Linked DNA regions of Notamacropus eugenii. The main gene of each other region encodes a partner of the protein of the gene in region 2 in a complex. Links are inferred from orthologs where the notes say so. Each region holds a gene or a part of one and is shown on either strand. Other genes may lie near its edges.

Region 1 (7,521 bases), on a different chromosome or scaffold from region 2:
GACAAACCCTCCCTGCCCCCATTAGTACCTGCAGTGCTAAACTTTGCTCTTCCGGTCTCCCCTCTCCCCGTTCCCTCCCATCGGGGACACCTTGTCTCTTCTGTCTCACAGGTCTGGGCTGTGACAAAACCCGAAACCGGGTGACCCTGCAAGAGTGGAATGACCCCCTGGACCCAGACCTGGAAGCGCAGCTCATCTATAGACACTTGTTGGGTGTCCAAGACACAATCCGGTGAGAAGGACATCTGTGATCTCCCTCCCTAGTCTTGTCCAGGAGGGTGTTGCCAGAGGAGGGTACCCTCCCAGAGTAGGGCACCTCCCCAGCAGCACGTCTCCTGACCACCTCTCCCTTTTCCTAGACCTGGTAGGCAGAGGGAACCCAAACTCTTGACTTCTTTGCCTTCCTGAGCCTCTTGTTTCTTTTCTGACCCAATTTAATTGATTTAACCAATATTCATGAAGTGTTTCCAATGAGCAAAGTCCTCTATTAGGTGCTGGGTCTTAGGGGACCCTTGGGTGAGATATTGGGAGGTGAGGGGATGAAGAAGGGAGAGGAGCAACTCAGAGCAAGTACCTAAGAAGCTTTGACCAGATGGCTCGGAAGGTCCTCCAGTTATCTGTGCCTCATTATGGCCATCCAAGGACAATGATTAGAAGTAAGGCCACCAGGATAGCTGTGCTAGACTGCTAGGCTTGAAAACAGGAAGAACCCGGTTCACATCTTTGCTTGATGTGTGACTATGAGGGAGTCTCTTAGCCTCTCTGGGCCTCAGTTTCCCCTCCTATAAAATGAAGATGTTGATCTTGGTAGCCTGGGAGATCTCTTCAGGTTCTGAATCTGTGGTCTGGTGCCCTCGGTTCTTGATACGATGACTGCGACTTATCTTTTCATGAAGAGAAGTGGCACAAGAGATGTGTTCCTCAGTTTCCTCACCTGTTGGATCCTCCTAGAGCTGAAATTTTAGATTCTAATTCTGTCATTCAGGGCTTTTCCCTTCCCTGGGAAAGTGATAGAAGTTGATGTTTCAGAGGGTCTGGGTCCTCATTCTTCCTTCAAAGTTTAGAAGAAATGATGGGTTTAAACAGGCTTCTTCATGAGAGCAGGGCAGGAGGTTCAGGATCCTATTCTCTCTCCCAGGTCAAGCTGTGAATCAGGACTCATGGGGGAAAGAATTGGATGCTTGGTAGGGTAAGATCAAACCGAGGTGGAAATGGTTTAACACCAAAGAGAGCATGGAGCTTGGCATAAGGTGCAGAGTGCTGGACCTGGGCATAAGGAGACCTGAGTCCAAATCCTACCTCTGACCCTTACTAGCTGTGAGACCCAGGGCAAAGTATGTAACCTTTCAGAGCCTTAGTTGCCTTATCTGTAAAATGGGGAAAATAGTATTACCTACCTCACAGGGTTCTGAGGATTTTTGTGGACTTAAAGTGTTAAATAAATGTTAGCTGCTCTTATCATTACTAATTTACTACTACTATTAATATGGATACTACTGAAGACACATATTAGGCAGTCATCCACAGATTCTCACAGGAGTAAGAGGGCAACCTTGGTCTAAAACTTGTCCCTTTTCCTTTCCCTCATCAGTGAAAAGTACCTGGAGCTGACTGCCCTGGGGGCTGCTGGGAATATCCCCAACATCCAAAGTGAAGGTAGGACCCTGACAGTCCCTCCCAAACCCCCCTCTTCTCATTCCAGAACAAGCTAACACAGTCCTTCCCAGGCCAAGGGAGGTAGTTTGATGAAGAATTCTGATTCTAGAGTCAGAGGACCTAGGTTCAGATCCCACTTGAGACATTTACCTAGGCCTCAGTTTCCTCATCTGTAAAATAATGGAATTGAACTAGATCTGAGGTCTCTTCTATGATTGTTTCTGTGGACAGATCACTTAAAGTTCCCTGGGCTTCTGTTATACCTTCTTTAAAATGGGGGGGGTGGGGTGGGGGTGGACAAACTGAACTCCCAGGTCCCTTCCAGCTCTGATCCTATGAAAGTCTGGCCCCATGGAAGGTCCTGAGGTCCTAGGACTCTGTGGTCCTTACCAGCCACTCTGGGGATGGTCTTTCCCCAGCACCTGAGGATGGTCCCACCCAGCTGTTCCAGGTACTCCGGGACCTAGAAGATGCCCACCGCTCTGGTCCTCTGACTACAGTAGACCAAGAGAAGAACTATCTCTTGGAGTTGCAGACGTGAGACTGAACTCTGCTTCCCTCAGGCCCAGGCCCTGCCTCGATGCCATCCATCCCACCCTCTGCCTCCTGCTGGGACTGTTTATTCCCAGGAACTCCCTGTCATGCTGGTGGCCTAGGAGCTCTGTGGTTTGGAGATCTGCCTGTGGCCTGGGTGAGCCCCTGGTCCCTGGCCCTGTCCTCACTTCTGCTCCAAAAATCAGCTTTTGGCTGCAAACCAACACCCCTTTCCCCATTTCCACGAGCACTTCAGGGGCCTGAGCCTTGTCCTGGGCTGCGCAGCAGCGCTGTTCCAACGTGTCAAGAGAGCAGCAGGAGGTTGAAAGCGCCCCTCGCTGGGGAGGGGAGCAGAGACATCCATGTGTTGGTTTCCTGGGATGGGTCACTGGGGCCCCAGGATCGGCAGTCCTGGGCCCTCCTTGTCCCCCATCCTTGGCTCGCTCTGGGTTACATCCTTGATTCTAACATTCCATGAGGTTCACAGTCAGGGAGCTGGGCGCTGGGGGAGACAAAGGGGTGCTGTGATGACTGATTTGGACTTGGTGGTTCTAAGGAGTCTCTGGAGTCTGTTCTTCCCTCTGCTGACCCCATGACCGGTGCCTCTGGTCTCCTAGCTGTTCTAGGGAGGAAGTGTGGAGAGCCATGGCCCCTGGGGAAGGCAGGTGGAGAAAGTAGAAGCTGTCACTTCTGCCCCCTTCCCCCCATCCCAGCATGAACACTGGGCCTCTGAGGCTCCTGGGGCTCCCTAGGGCCAGGACTCTGCATCCAGCTTCTTGATTCAGCCCCTGGGGTGGGAAGCCTCTGGCAGCGCCGCTTCCTCCTGTGCCAGCAGCCCCTCCCCTTCGCTGGGCATCACTGCAGATTACAATAAACTTTCCTTTACCCTTGTTGGGCTGGGGCTCTGGTCCTGTCTTTGGGGGGTGGGGAGGGGCACCGAGCATGTCTGGGGTCTGAGGGAAGGGGCACCTACTGTGTGCCAGGCACTTTCTACAAAGGTTATCTCACCTCACCCTCACAACAACCCTGGGAGGTAGTTGCCATTGTTATCATCCCCATTTTACAGACGAGGGAAACTGAGGCAAACAGGTTCCGTGACTGGCCCAGGGTCACACAGGGTCGGAAGCCTGACTTTCGTCCCGACTGCAGGCCCCGGGCACGCCCGCCCCGCCCCCCACCCCAGCGCTCCGCCCCTACCGCTGTGCGCCCCGCCCCGCCCCCACCGCTGCACGCCCCGCCCCCACCGCCTCTGGCAGTAGCCGGAGGCCTCCAGGGATTCCGAGGAGAGAGCACGCTGCGGGCGGCGCATCAGGGGAGTCTTCCTCCGGCTTGGGAGGGGCTCGCTCAGGCCCCTGGAGGCCCGCGTGGGGGAGGCTGCCACCTTGCGGAGGAAGCAGGGAAAGCAGGAGGAGGGGGCGCCGGAGGAGGAATGCTGGGACACCATCTAGCACTGGAAAGGCCGATTCCCACCCCTTAGTTTAACTGAGAAGGAAACTGAGGCACAGAGGGGGAGGGGATTTGCCCAAAATGAGGCAGCAGATCAGAGCCGGCGTCATCCGCTTCTACCAGCGTCCAAGACGGCGTCCGAGCCCGGGCGCTGGAGCCCCGTCGCCCCCTAGCGGGACGGGAAGAACACAACGCCGGACACGCACGCGCACACACGTCTACTAGTGTTGTCCCCTCCCCTCCCGTTGGCCGAGCGGCGCATGCGGCCATCTTCCTCTCCCCCCTCTGGCTCCGCCCCTTCCTTTTCTGTTCCCTCTAGCGGCGGAGTGCGTTACTTCCTGTTCCGCCGCGGTCGCGCATGCGTGAGCTCCATTCGGAGCCAGGCGTGCTCCGGAAGCGGAAGCTGGGTAGGCTGGGGAGTCCCCGAGCTAGCGGCGGCGGCAGAGAATGAACGCGCCTCCGGCCTTCGAGTCCTTCCTCCTCTTTGAGGGAGAGAAGAAGTGAGCGCGGCCGCGGGGCGGGAGGGCCGAGCGGGGCTGCCGCGGCACCCTCGGTAGGAGGGGCCTCAGCCTCCTCCGTGTGATGGGGGTAGACCTTTCCCCGGGCCTCAGTTTCCCCGCCTGTTCCCCCTCTCAGAACACGACGGCCCCTTTTTGGGAAGACGTCACGTGTGGTAGCGCCCCCATTGTACAGAGGAGGAAACTGAGGCCGGCAAGTGTCGGAGGCGGGAGCCGACCCCGGCTTTGTGCCAACTAGTGACCTAGGAAGCAGCAGGGGACGCTCGTCCTGGGGGGGGGGGGGGGGGGCCTGAGAAAGCGCCACAAAAACGCGACAAGGCGCTGTTTGGGCAAAGAACGGGCCGAGCTTCGGTCCTGGGTCCGCAGCGAACGCCTCCCCACGTGTGCCCCTCCAGAGCCGGGCGGGATCGGGTGGGCAGCCCGCGCCCTCACCGTGCCCCCTTCCTCCCCAGGATCACTATCAACAAGGACACCAAAGTGCCCAATGCCTGTTTGTTCACCATCAACAAGGAGGACCACACGCTGGGGAACATCATCAAGTCGTAAGTGCGGCGGGAGGGGGCGGTGCCCAGGCTCCCCCGGGCAGGAGGAGGTGCCAGGTCTACCCAGGTGACCCAGGCCTTGGGCTGGCGCCGCCATCCTCCTTTCCTGAACACTTCTGGATCTTAGGGTCGTGTGCCAGGGAAGAGCGGAGCCCTCTTCATGCTGAACCCCTGAATTCCCAGTTCAGAACTTCTCTCCTTATTCCAGAATTCTGCTTGCTCACTCAGTAAACCCAGACAAGTTCTCCAAACCCGGTCCTGCAGCTTCCGAAGCAGAGATTACACGGCCCTGGAGCGTTTTCTGCTTTGTTTAATTTATTCACATAAAACAAAAACGTTTCACTCGTCTGGTAAGAATTCGTCTTCTCAGCTGTACTCAGAAGCAGAGCATCTTTGCTGCTCATCTCCCTGCCCGCCTTTAGGTCCCTTCTGTCCTCTGCACTTAGACCAGGGAACTCTGGGGAAAGGGGGAAAGGTGAAGCTAAACCTCCTTTCATCCGTTGTAAGCGTTAACCTTGAATTGCTCAGTACGAAAAGGGAGGAGTTTAGGAGACTTCAGTTAGGTTGGGAGAGCGTTACCTGGCACCCAGACTAGCATAAGTCAGTCTTATACTTAGTGTTAACTTGGGCTGCCAGATTGATCTTCCCCAGATATTGTTTATTCCGTTTCCCTGCTCAGACACCTTCAGTAGCTCCCTGGTTCCTATTGAATAAAACTCCTAGGTGGCATTGGAGGCCCTTTTGTTTTTCGGTGGTTTTGTCAGTTGTGTCCAACTCTTTGTGAGTGTTTGGGGTTTTCTTGGTAAAAGTACTGACTGCAGTGGCTTGCCATTTCATTCTCCACCTCATTTGATAGAAGAGAAAACTGAGGCAAATATGGTTAAGTGACTCGCCCAGAGTCACTCAATAAGTGTCAGACACCAAATTTGGACCCAGGAAGATGAGTCTTTTGGTCCAGGGCTCTGCCCACTGTGCCACCTAGCCACCAGGTCTGATCCGTAGGCTACATTTAAAATAATTTCTTGTTGACAGCTTTTGTTTGTATGTAACCTCTATTTCTCTCAGACTAAAGTAACATATCAAAAAAGTCTGGCCTTTTATGCAACATTCTGCATCTATGGTCTCCCTCCTCTGCAAAGAAATGGATTTTTGGGAGGGGCCAAGCTTGGTTATTACAGTATTACAGCATTAGTTTTCTCTTATTTTGTTCTTTCTCTACACAGTGTTGTAATCGTGTATTCTGTTTGCCTGGTTCTGCTGGCTTCACTTTGCATCAGTCCATTTGGATCTTCCCATACTTCTTATTTTCATCATGTTACTGTCTTATAGCAGAAGCACTAATTCACTTCTCTTTATGAATCAGTTTATTTAGCCATTTCCCCATCAATAGGTCTCTCTCTTGTTTCTCGTTCACTAGTGCACCTTAGCTGCCCTTTTAGGCTTATTTCCCTCCTCATCATGTTGAAACCCTTTGCAGCAGTCAGGCCAATTTCCTCAAGATCCCCTCTCGGTGTTGTGTGTATTCACCTGCCTCTGACTTTGCCTCATTCAGCTTGCCTGGTATGTCTTCCCACCCCTCCTCCACATCCTCTCTGTGTCCTCTTAGATCCGATACTTGTAGATCTTTCCTGGGCACCGACAGGGAATATTAAATGCCTTTCTATTCCCCACAGCATTGCCACATCCTATGCCTTGCACACAGTTGGTAACTCACTTAAATTTTACACTAAGTCATATTGCTTACTGGCCAAGTACATGACTATCATTCCACTTTGGTCATATTCAGAAGTTTAAAATCAAGAAATATTTGTTAAGGTCTTTATATAGAGTATTGTGGTAGATAGCCGGAGAGTTAGAAGGATTCGTTAAAAAACATATCCTGCTCTTGTGAAGACTGTGGAGAGTCTAGCAGTGTCTCAGATGCCCAGATCACTTTAATGCTGTAGAATACATAAATCCTTTAGAAAGCTGCAGACCAGCGCTGTCAGGTCTGACTCACATCATCACAGCATGAGGAGGTCAGAGAGTCTAGGGGAGGCGGTATTTGGATTGGGCTTTAGAGGAGGAAGAGGAATTCATCTGGCAAAGAAGGAGATGGAAGAGAAAGTACTCCAGGTTTTGGGGACCCAGGCAGGAAGGGAGATGTGTTCTGGGAGCCAAGTGGGGCTGAGAGGAGTGAGATAAGGGTCAGGACTCTTGGAATGGCATGAAGGCGGGGTCTGCAAGTTTGAGCTTGGCTCTCAGTGAACAGACAGGAAGGGGATGAGTGTTTCTTGGCTACTGCATTCTGAGCTGTGTTGCCTTCCTCCACTTTGTCAGTGAATTCATTTTTTCCTCCATGAAATATCCAAGAGGCAGCAGTATAATGTAGTGGACAGAGAGCTGGCTTCGACACCAGGAAGATCTGGATTCAAGTCCCACCTTTGACTCTGAGCTAGTCGGTGGCAGAGATGGGGCTGGCTTGTGTTGGCGAAGGGAATTTGCTCACCTGGGAGTTCTCTAAAAGCCCAGCCGCAAAGTGCTACTGTGGGGGAAAACATGTTTGTTGTGGGTAAAGAGCCTGGCCTCCTGAAGACTGGGAAAGGTCTTTTTTGCTGACAAAAAACTCACTTCATTATTTAAGGCTGTACCACAAACACTGTGCCTTGTCACCCTATAAAACATCTGCTCCCCAAACTGTTCTGGGGGTTTTTTAACCTACAGTGGGCCTTAAAGTTTTCTTCCTATGAAGGGGATGGTGAACTGACAGCTACACCAATATGCAAAAGGTAGAACTGTTCCACAATTAACAGAAATTTCCAGAGGCCTGCTATATAGGCCAGCTT
Region 2 (8,618 bases):
GATTTAAAGAGGTATACAGAGACACATATCAGTTCTGATGGTTTTGATGGAAGCAGCTAGGTTGGGAAGTAGATAGAACACTGGACCTGAGGTGAGGAAGTCCTGAGTTCAAATCCTGCTTTCGTCACTTACTACTAGTGTGACCCTTGGAGTCAACTAACTTCTCCTTCGGTGTACTCTTCTGTAAATGGGTATACAGGAGAATCTTAGTTTAAGAGTAACCTGGTTTACATATGCTTTGCTGGACAAGGAAAAATTTTTCACAAAATTTGTCTTGCAGGACAAACAAAAATTCGCAGTATGAACATCATGTTTGGACTTCAATGGCTTGTGAAGGGATGACGCTCAACTAGGGCAGTGGGTTTTTTGTTTTTTGGGTTTTTTTTGCAAAAGTGCAAAATTTTGTTGAAAAACAACACCCAAACAAGGCTGTAACAATGAGAGCTACGAATATTTTTAACAATAATGCAATGTCACATTTCTGTGATATTCTGAAAAAACATCAAAAACAAGTATCATTAGATAGATTGCTAGTGAGAAGCAAATGTAAAGAAAAAAAGTGAGTCAAAACATGAAAGTGATTCTAAAAAACAAAAAATAAGTGAAGGCAGTAGTGTTAGTCTTATGTTTAGTGACAGTAGCATAAAAGAGAACCCTCCCAATGTTGAAATCCTCCATGTTCTCATAGGAGATTCTCTTTCCAAGCAATAATCCTTCCTCCTCCTTCTCCTCCCTCTTGTCTCCCTCACCCCAGTCACAACTCTTCTCAAAGGTAAAGTGCCGGTTAATTTATTTTATTTTCAGTTTATATTGTTTACTAATCATTGCTATTGTATTTCAGGCACATTAGGGACAAAAAACTTACTTAAAATTATAAATAATTATTTTATATGAATATTTTTGGGGATGTGATCATCCAACTTTAACATTATTGCCTATGGGAAAATTTGCTTTGCAATATGAACAAATCACATGATGAACAGAATCTCAGAATGAATTAAATTCGTAAAATGAGGTTCTACTGTATAATACTAGTATCTCTCAGGGTTGCTATGAGGATAAAATGAGATATTTGAAAAGTGCTTTGTGAACCTTTAAAGTGTTATAGAAAGTTAATTGCTATTATTATCATTATTACGTGAAGGAAGAAAAGTAGTAGTAGTAGTAGTAGTAGTAGTAGTAGTAGTGGGAGTAGTAGTAGTAGTAGTAGTAGTAGTAATAGTAGTGGGAGTAGTAGTAGTAGTAGTAGTAGTAGTAGTAGTAGTAGTAGTAGTAGTAGTGGGAGTAGAAGTACTGACAGTAAAAAAGTATTTGCACCTAGTCAAGGCATCAGAATCAAATGGGGTGATCTAGATTTCAGGCACCCCGGTTTCAGAGTACAATAGGCTTAATGTTTCGGGAAAGGACAGGACAGAATAGGACAGGACAGAATAGGAGGAAGTGAAGGGAAGGGAAGGGAAGGGAAGGGAGGGGAAGGGGCTAGTAAAATAAGTTAACTGGATATCTTTTGGCTATCCAAAGGGGCCATGCCCTAACTATTTCTTAAACAGGTCTATTCAATGAATGGGTATTGCCTCACCCTAAGTGAATACCTGCAAAGACCTTGGCCTAAAGGGCCCAAGGTCTCCCAGTGCATCCTGGGTCATCTCCAGTCATCCTGATGAATATCTGGTCACTGGATTCAGATGGCTCTGGAGGAGAAGTGAGGCTGGTGACCTGCACAGCCCTCCCTCACTGAAAACAAAGTCAAGTGTAAGTCATGTTATCATTTCTCTGATGGCATGGTCTTCTTTGGCGATGAAGGATGAACACGATTAAAACCTTAAACCTTAAAACGTTCAAATATGTAGTCAATTTAAGGTCCTCTTAATACAGTGCTGAATATATACTACTAGGCCTTCTATAAATGCTTGCAGAAGTGATTGAGGAGTATATTTAAATTTCATTCAATAGAAAGGAATTGCACTGTCATTTCAATTCAGTTGAAGGAAATTTGGTTGTACCTATTTACTTATTAGGTTTTATAGTACCTCTTCTCCAGATAACTCAAGTATCGACAAATAATTTTAACAATGTTTTAAAGTACCATATACAAATACGGGGATCTGTCCTCAGGTATCCCTGTACCTGTTGAATTTTTAGTCTCCTCCTCAAGTTGCTTATCTTTCTTTGTCCTACTCTCCCAACCTCCCCAGTTATCTTAAGGTCACAGAATTGTTGAAATTGTTGTTGATTCTTCCTTCTTTAAGAGAACCAATGACACCATGAAGGTGATGTCTTGACTTACTCATGGACTGTATTTGAGGCAGGGCTGTAGTCCTTAGCCTTGCTTTCTCCTTCAAAGTCATTGGAGTCCAGTGACAAGACAAAAGTCAAGACAATGATAAGGGCAATGGCCCTTAAGATCACAGATTTAGAGCTGGAAGGGACCTCAGAGTTCGTTGAGTCCAAACCCCTCATTTTGCAAATAAGGAAATGAGACCGGAGAGATTCAGTGACTTTACACACAGCTAGTGAATGTCTGAGGGACAGCTAGATAGCACAGTGGCTGGGCTGGGAATCAGGAAGATTCATCTTCTTGAGTTCAAATCTGGCCTCAGCCACCTACTACCTGTGTGACCCTGGGCAAGTCATTTAACTCTGTTTGCCTCAGTTCCTCATTTGTAAAATGAGCTAGAGAAGTAAATGGAAAACCACTCCAATATCTTTGCCAAGAAAACCTCAAATGGGATCATGAAGAGTAAGACAACTCAACCACAAAGTAAGAATTTGAGACAGGATTCACACTCAGGTCTTCCTGACTAACCCAACACCTAAAACTGATTTAACCTCACTGGGATAAGAATCCTAGATGTATTGTCTACCAAATGATCTTTAAACTTGTTATACACTCTGAATCTGTGGTGTGTTGTGGAAAGCAATGAACTTGGATCCCAATCCTAGCTCTTTTTATTACTTTGTGACCCTGGGAAAGTCACTTAACCTCTTCATGGTTTCATTTTCCTCACCTCATTGCACCAGATCTCTTAAGGTTCCTTCCACTTCTGAGTGCTATGGTCATGAAGTGGATAAAAATGTTGTTCTGGATAATTTGCTACCCTGATTAGCTGAGATCAGAACACAATAAAACACGCTCAACTATTCCTAGATGACAGATAGGACTCCTCCTTTTAGGGAGTTCTGCTTCTACGTGGTGCAGCCTTGTGATGAGTGAGGTAGGTAGTGACTCAGGGGAGGCATCTGGAGAGTGATAAGAGTGAAGTGGCTTGGTAACCTGAGTCTAGTACAAAACCTTAAGTTCATAACCTTCATTTCTCCTCTTTCTTTCTGTGTTTTCCCCTTCAGAGCCCACATTTCGTGATTTTTTTCCTTTTAAGACTGCTCTTGCTGATTCATTTGAACTTGGTATCATTTCTACAAAAATGTCATTTCAGCCTTGCCCAGTGCCAAATAGGATCCTTCCCCCAATTCCTTAGATATGCTAACTGTATGATTCATAGGCACACATAATGATGATTAATAATATGGTATCATTGCATAGAATTATGAAGAAAAATTTGAGTTTGCTGGCTTTCTGGTGATTTCCATTCTGGATCCATGGGGGCTGTGACTTCTCAGTTTGGGGTACAAGGGAAGAGTCAGGCTGTTGTGCTTCTACCCTCGCCACTGTTTCTGTCTTCGGAGAATCTAGGATTTTTACTTAACGTCACTGCTGTCTTAAATAAAGGTAAATAGCGTACAGCTGTAGAGGATTTAAACCGCAACCTGGTAAGAACGCCGGTGCAGGAGGCAGTACGCGATGACAACACACACGCATGAAGTGCCTGCTGTGGGCCAGCTAAGCGCAGGAATGCGAGGACAGAGAGAAGACCCCCTGCTGTCCAGATCCCGGCCAGCCTCGCACAAACAAGCTGCGTGATGAAGGGGCATCAGGGAGAGACTTGTTGTATAAGGCAAGAATGGCGAGGGGCTGAATTCCGGCCAACGTTCCACTCCCGGGAGATGGAGCGCATTGTTTGAGGGCGCCGCAGCGCCCGTGCCCCTGAATCGCAGTGTTTGGGGTACTTCTTGGGGGGTGGAAAGGGGGGTGGTGGAGAGCTCTGAATGCCAAAGCATCTTAGAAGCACTCGCTGTGCGCCACGCACGGTGCGACCTGGACGAATTACAGAACAACCCGGCAAAGACCCCCCTTACAATAAGAGGAGACACGTGGGGAGAGGGCTCCAGGGAGGCGCACTTGGGGCGACCCAGTCCTGCCATGTTGAGCAGTTCTCGAACTGCGGCTGGGGAAGGAGTCGGGGTTGCTCACGAACTGAAATGATTTGGGGTGTAAATCCTGGAAATACTCCAGTCGGTCAAGGCGGATACCAAGTGTCAATCTACCGTTTCTACAACAGGACTTCGGCAGCGTCGGATAACCGAGTCGGGACAAGCACGCACGTGCCCACCAAGAGGCCCCTCCCCCCATTTAAAAATGACGCGTGCATAAGCGCACAGAACCCCGCACCCCGTTCCCTTCGCCGGAGCCGCGGGCGGCAGAGGCTTTCAGGCGCGAACGCCGGAGGGCTGGCTTCCCGAGCAGCGCGACCCGGCGGCTGCGGCCGAGAAGCGGCAGGAGGAGCTCGTCCCAGGTGTCCCTCGGCTCGGGGAGTGATGACTCCGCAGATCGAAACTTAAGCCAGCGCCCGGCTCGCTGGGACAGGAGAGTCACGTGACCCGTTCATCCCCGGCCTACCCCAAGGCCGGAGCTAACCGGGCTTGAAGTGAGCGCCACTTCTGAAATTCCGCCGAGCTGAGAGGGCGCGCCCCTGGGGAGGGAAGAACGGGCGGCCGGTCCGAGACTCGCGAGCTGCTCGATTGAAGCTCCCGCCTTTCCCTTCGGCCGGTTTAATCGGGTTTTTTTGGTTTTTTTTTAACTCTTATCTTTCCAAAGTCAGAGACACGAAAAGAAACTTCCGCCTGGGTCACGGCGGAGGCAAAACCACGTGACCCCGGCACGAGAGGCGATTGGGAGTGGGGGGGGCGGGAGTAAGTCGGTCCATTTCCCAGCTCCGCAGCCTGGCGGGGAGGGCCTCACCTTCGCACCGTGAGAGTCCCTTTGGCAGTCTCGCGCGCCCCCACGCGTGCGTGCGCCCGGCCGCTCTCGCGTTGTCTCGCGCCGCCTACCCCCCCCTCCTTACTCCTCCTTCCCCTCCCACTCCGCTCCTTCCCTCCTCCCCCTTCCCTCCCCTCCCCTTCCTCCTGCCCCTGTCTCTCGACGGTGGTGGCTCGCGCAGCTCGTTGGCTCACTATATAAAGGAGAGAAGCGGGCGGAGAAGACGGCTGGTGGCTGCAGCCCGTGCGGCGGCGGCGGTAGCGGCAGCGCGGGGGGCGGCGACCGGTGGCGGTTTCGCTCCTTTGCCCCGGGCGGGGGGCGGGGAACGCTCCCCGGGACCCCCGAAGGGTCACAATTTTTTTAAGGGCGATTCTCGAGGATCTCAGCTCCCGGAGGACTCCCTCCCCCCCTCACCGCCCCCCCCTTCCCCCTACTCCACCTTCGGGACTCGGTTTCGTTTTTCTTTTTTTTTTTTTTTTAAATCTCGGTGATCTGGTTACAGTCGGGGTCTCTTTTCTTTTTGTTTTTATTTCTTTTTTTAAATTTTTTTTGTTGTTGTGTTGTGTGTGGAAATGGCGAACTCGGCAAATACAAACCCCGTGGTAAGGATGTGACTCGGTGACCGGCGGCGGCGGCGGGGGCGGGCGCGGGCTGGGGGCCCGGGGCCCGGGCCCGGGAGCCGGAGCCGGGATCAACTCTTTTCCCCCTTCCCCGCCCCCACCCTCAGCCTCCTCTCGCTGTCGCCGCCGCCGCCACCTCTTCCCGCCGAAGGGGAGACCTGGGCCGAGGGCGGGGGGAGGGGGGTGGGGTGGAGGCCAGAACGGGGGGCTCATGGAGGGGGGTGCAGGAGGAGGGGGGAGAAGCGGGGGAGACGAGGGTCCAAGCGGAGGGCTCTCAGCCGCGCTTTCAGGGTGTCAGGAGGGCTCTCCCCAGGTTAGTCTCCACTCGGGCGAAAGAAGAGGCTGAAAACTTGAGAAAGGGGAGGGGACGGGGCAGAGACCCTCTCCTTCCGCCCCCTTCCCCCCAGAAAACCGCCCTAAGATGGTCTCGGTGGAAGCGGAGTTGGTTTTGTTTGGGGGGGAGGAGTTTAGAGAGGAGCTGGATCCTGCGGGGCAGCCGACAGCTATGGCCGCGTCTCGGACGGGGAGACGGAGTCCCCGAAGCCCGCGCTGGCCCCATGGAGGGGGAGAAATCCGGGGCTCGGGAAGAAGATTAATCTTCCAGACCCCGCCCCGATCCAGTGTGCTGGGGGTGGGGGAGGTTTCTTTTCTTTATTTTTTTCTTTTTTCTTTCCTTTTTTTTTTTAACGAGGATGCCTTGGACTAGCGCGAAGTGTGAGGCGACCCTTGAGTTTTGTGGTGGTTGATTTCTTTGGAGCTGGATGGGGCCATTTTACGTTGGAAAAAGAAGGTTGAAAAGCACTTGTCCCATCTCCTTTAGAATCGTTAAAATGGCGAAGGGGAAACAAAATCCCGTCATACCTTCGACTAGCAAGAGGAAAAAAATGACATTGACCAAGGCACCCCTCCGCCTGAAATGCCGCCTCGTCTCCCCCACCCGTCCCCGGGTCCTTTTATTTTTTTTGTTACTTGCAGTCACATAGGTTTGCAAAAAGCAGTCACATAAATAACCTTTGCAGTCACCAGTGCCATGTGATCCTCGATCCACCCGACTCTCCTTTATTATAAGACTAATAACAATAAAAAATGCCATCCCCCTCCCCAAATGCGGCCAGCAAACCCTCTGTGCCCAGGACCGTACCGTGGAGACTCGGCCCCTTGTTTGCCACTCTCAGAGAGAGATCGATCCATCATGGCTGCTGCAGCTTCCCCTGCTTTTGAGTCCCTGCTCCTTGTGGTCCTCCTCCCTTTGGCTGCCCTGTTTATATAGAGCCATTGCGCTCTCTAATATAGACTCTGCCAGGATGGGAAGGTGCTTTTCAGCCCTACGTCACCGGCTCTCCATTTAAACCCCAGATCAGGCTTTAAATAGTGAGAGCTGCGGAGCGCGAGGCTGGGAGGTGCATGCTCCGCGTGAGGGAGGATTCGTGCTCGCCTGCTTGGTTCTGGGTGGCCTCTTCTGGCACTTGAGTTGTGCAGCTCTGGGGTCCAGCTCTGCCTTGCTCGTCGACGCCGGCTCCTGCTGCAGGCACTTGCTCTGGCTGCTTTTTGAACGAGGAGGCTGTGGTCTTCTCTGGACGGCTTTGGGGTATTTTTTTCAAGAAGGAAAAAAAATGAGGCCTTCCTTCCTAGTACCCCAAGTTTTTCCAAAGTATTTGGAAGTGGAAAATAAGCCACATTTGTTGTAACTTATACGGAAAATATAGGACAAGCTGTCCAGGGTTGAGGTTTTTTTTTCCAAGCATTTTTTGCTTACAGATGACTTCAAAACATATTTAGAAAAACCTGTTTATTGAAAATTTTAAAATTGTAAAAACGTCAAAATCATACTTGTGAAATGTGGAATACTATAGTAAATGTTAAATGTAATTTCCCTTCCATGCTTTTTCTTCAGGGAAAATAGTATTTTCATTGTGAATGAAGAGGTGCTTTGGAGTGCAAACACTGTATTTAAAAAAAAAAGGTAGCAGGCTAACAGAATGCTGAATTGATAGATATTAACATTATCCTTGTTACACAAGCAATTTCTATTTTTTTTTGCATTGTGTTTGTATATAGGGTACTAAGTGTGTAGATATGGAATTACAGAACCTGTCATCACCACTACCCTTAGATGTACATGGACCACATAGGTATTTGTTGCTATATGTAATAGATGAGTGTACCAACAACTGTGTATATAGAATTTTTGTCAAGTAGAACCAATTATTCCTATTAGGGGAACTGATTAAGAGGAGCTCTGTAATAATAGTTGATGATTACATGGCTACATGTATTATTTCATTTGATCCTTATGACAGTTCTGTCAGGAAGTATAAATATTTATACTGTTTTATTGATGAGGTAACTGAAGTTCAACGTTGCATTACTAACAGGAGTTGGATGGATTCCGGGCTTGGGAACTGGATTTGGAGACAAGATGATGTTTTTTCAAATCACATCTTTGCTACTTAGTATAACTACAACTAAGCCCTGTCTTCATCACTTAAAAAAGATAGTTGGACCACATAGTCTCTAAGGTCCAGTACAGCTGCCTCCCTCCTGTAGTAAATTATTTGGTAATGGAAATGTTCCCCCTATAATTTATCCAGTTGTACAGTTTGGTTTTAAATATCCTGTTTTCCTAAATTAGGATATATCTATGGTTGCCTGAAGCCGTGTGTTTTGTTGCTTTCATTCAAATTGACTAGAAAATGTCTTTAGAAATGATTGTTATTCTAAATGATCTCTGGAGTACCTGAACACTGATATTTTAAAAACCTCTTTGGCATATGAACTAAGGCAGCCAAATTATTTCATATGCATATGCTTTATGAAAATACAATTATTTTATGGCATTTGTAAGTGTAAGGTACTAAGTCATATAGGTAGCATAAGATACAATTAAATCAGAGAGCAGGACA

Evidence for each region.
Region 1: GTF2A1 (region 2) and POLR2J share a complex: the UniProt entries of both Homo sapiens proteins name them as parts of the TBP-based Pol II pre-initiation complex. The link is inferred for Notamacropus eugenii from reciprocal best matches to the Homo sapiens genes GTF2A1 and POLR2J.

The regions. Positions count from the first base shown.
Region 1 is NC_092873.1:51,624,092-51,631,612, forward strand, and holds the start of POLR2J (DNA-directed RNA polymerase II subunit RPB11-a), read left to right. Parts: upstream 1-3,929; 5' UTR 3,930-4,083; coding exon 4,084-4,136; intron 4,137-4,606; coding exon 4,607-4,696; intron 4,697-7,521. Other genes in the region: ras GTPase-activating protein 4-like, read left to right, coding at 112-232, 1,592-1,656, 2,220-2,668. UniProt on the Homo sapiens protein: Core component of RNA polymerase II (Pol II), a DNA-dependent RNA polymerase which synthesizes mRNA precursors and many functional non-coding RNAs using the four ribonucleoside triphosphates as substrates.
Region 2 is NC_092878.1:65,973,827-65,982,444, reverse strand, and holds the start of GTF2A1 (transcription initiation factor IIA subunit 1), read left to right. Parts: upstream 1-5,213; 5' UTR 5,214-5,667; coding exon 5,668-5,697; intron 5,698-6,338; exon of another isoform or gene 6,339-6,582; intron 6,583-6,856; exon of another isoform or gene 6,857-6,975; intron 6,976-8,618. UniProt on the Homo sapiens protein: TFIIA is a component of the transcription machinery of RNA polymerase II and plays an important role in transcriptional activation. TFIIA in a complex with TBP mediates transcriptional activity.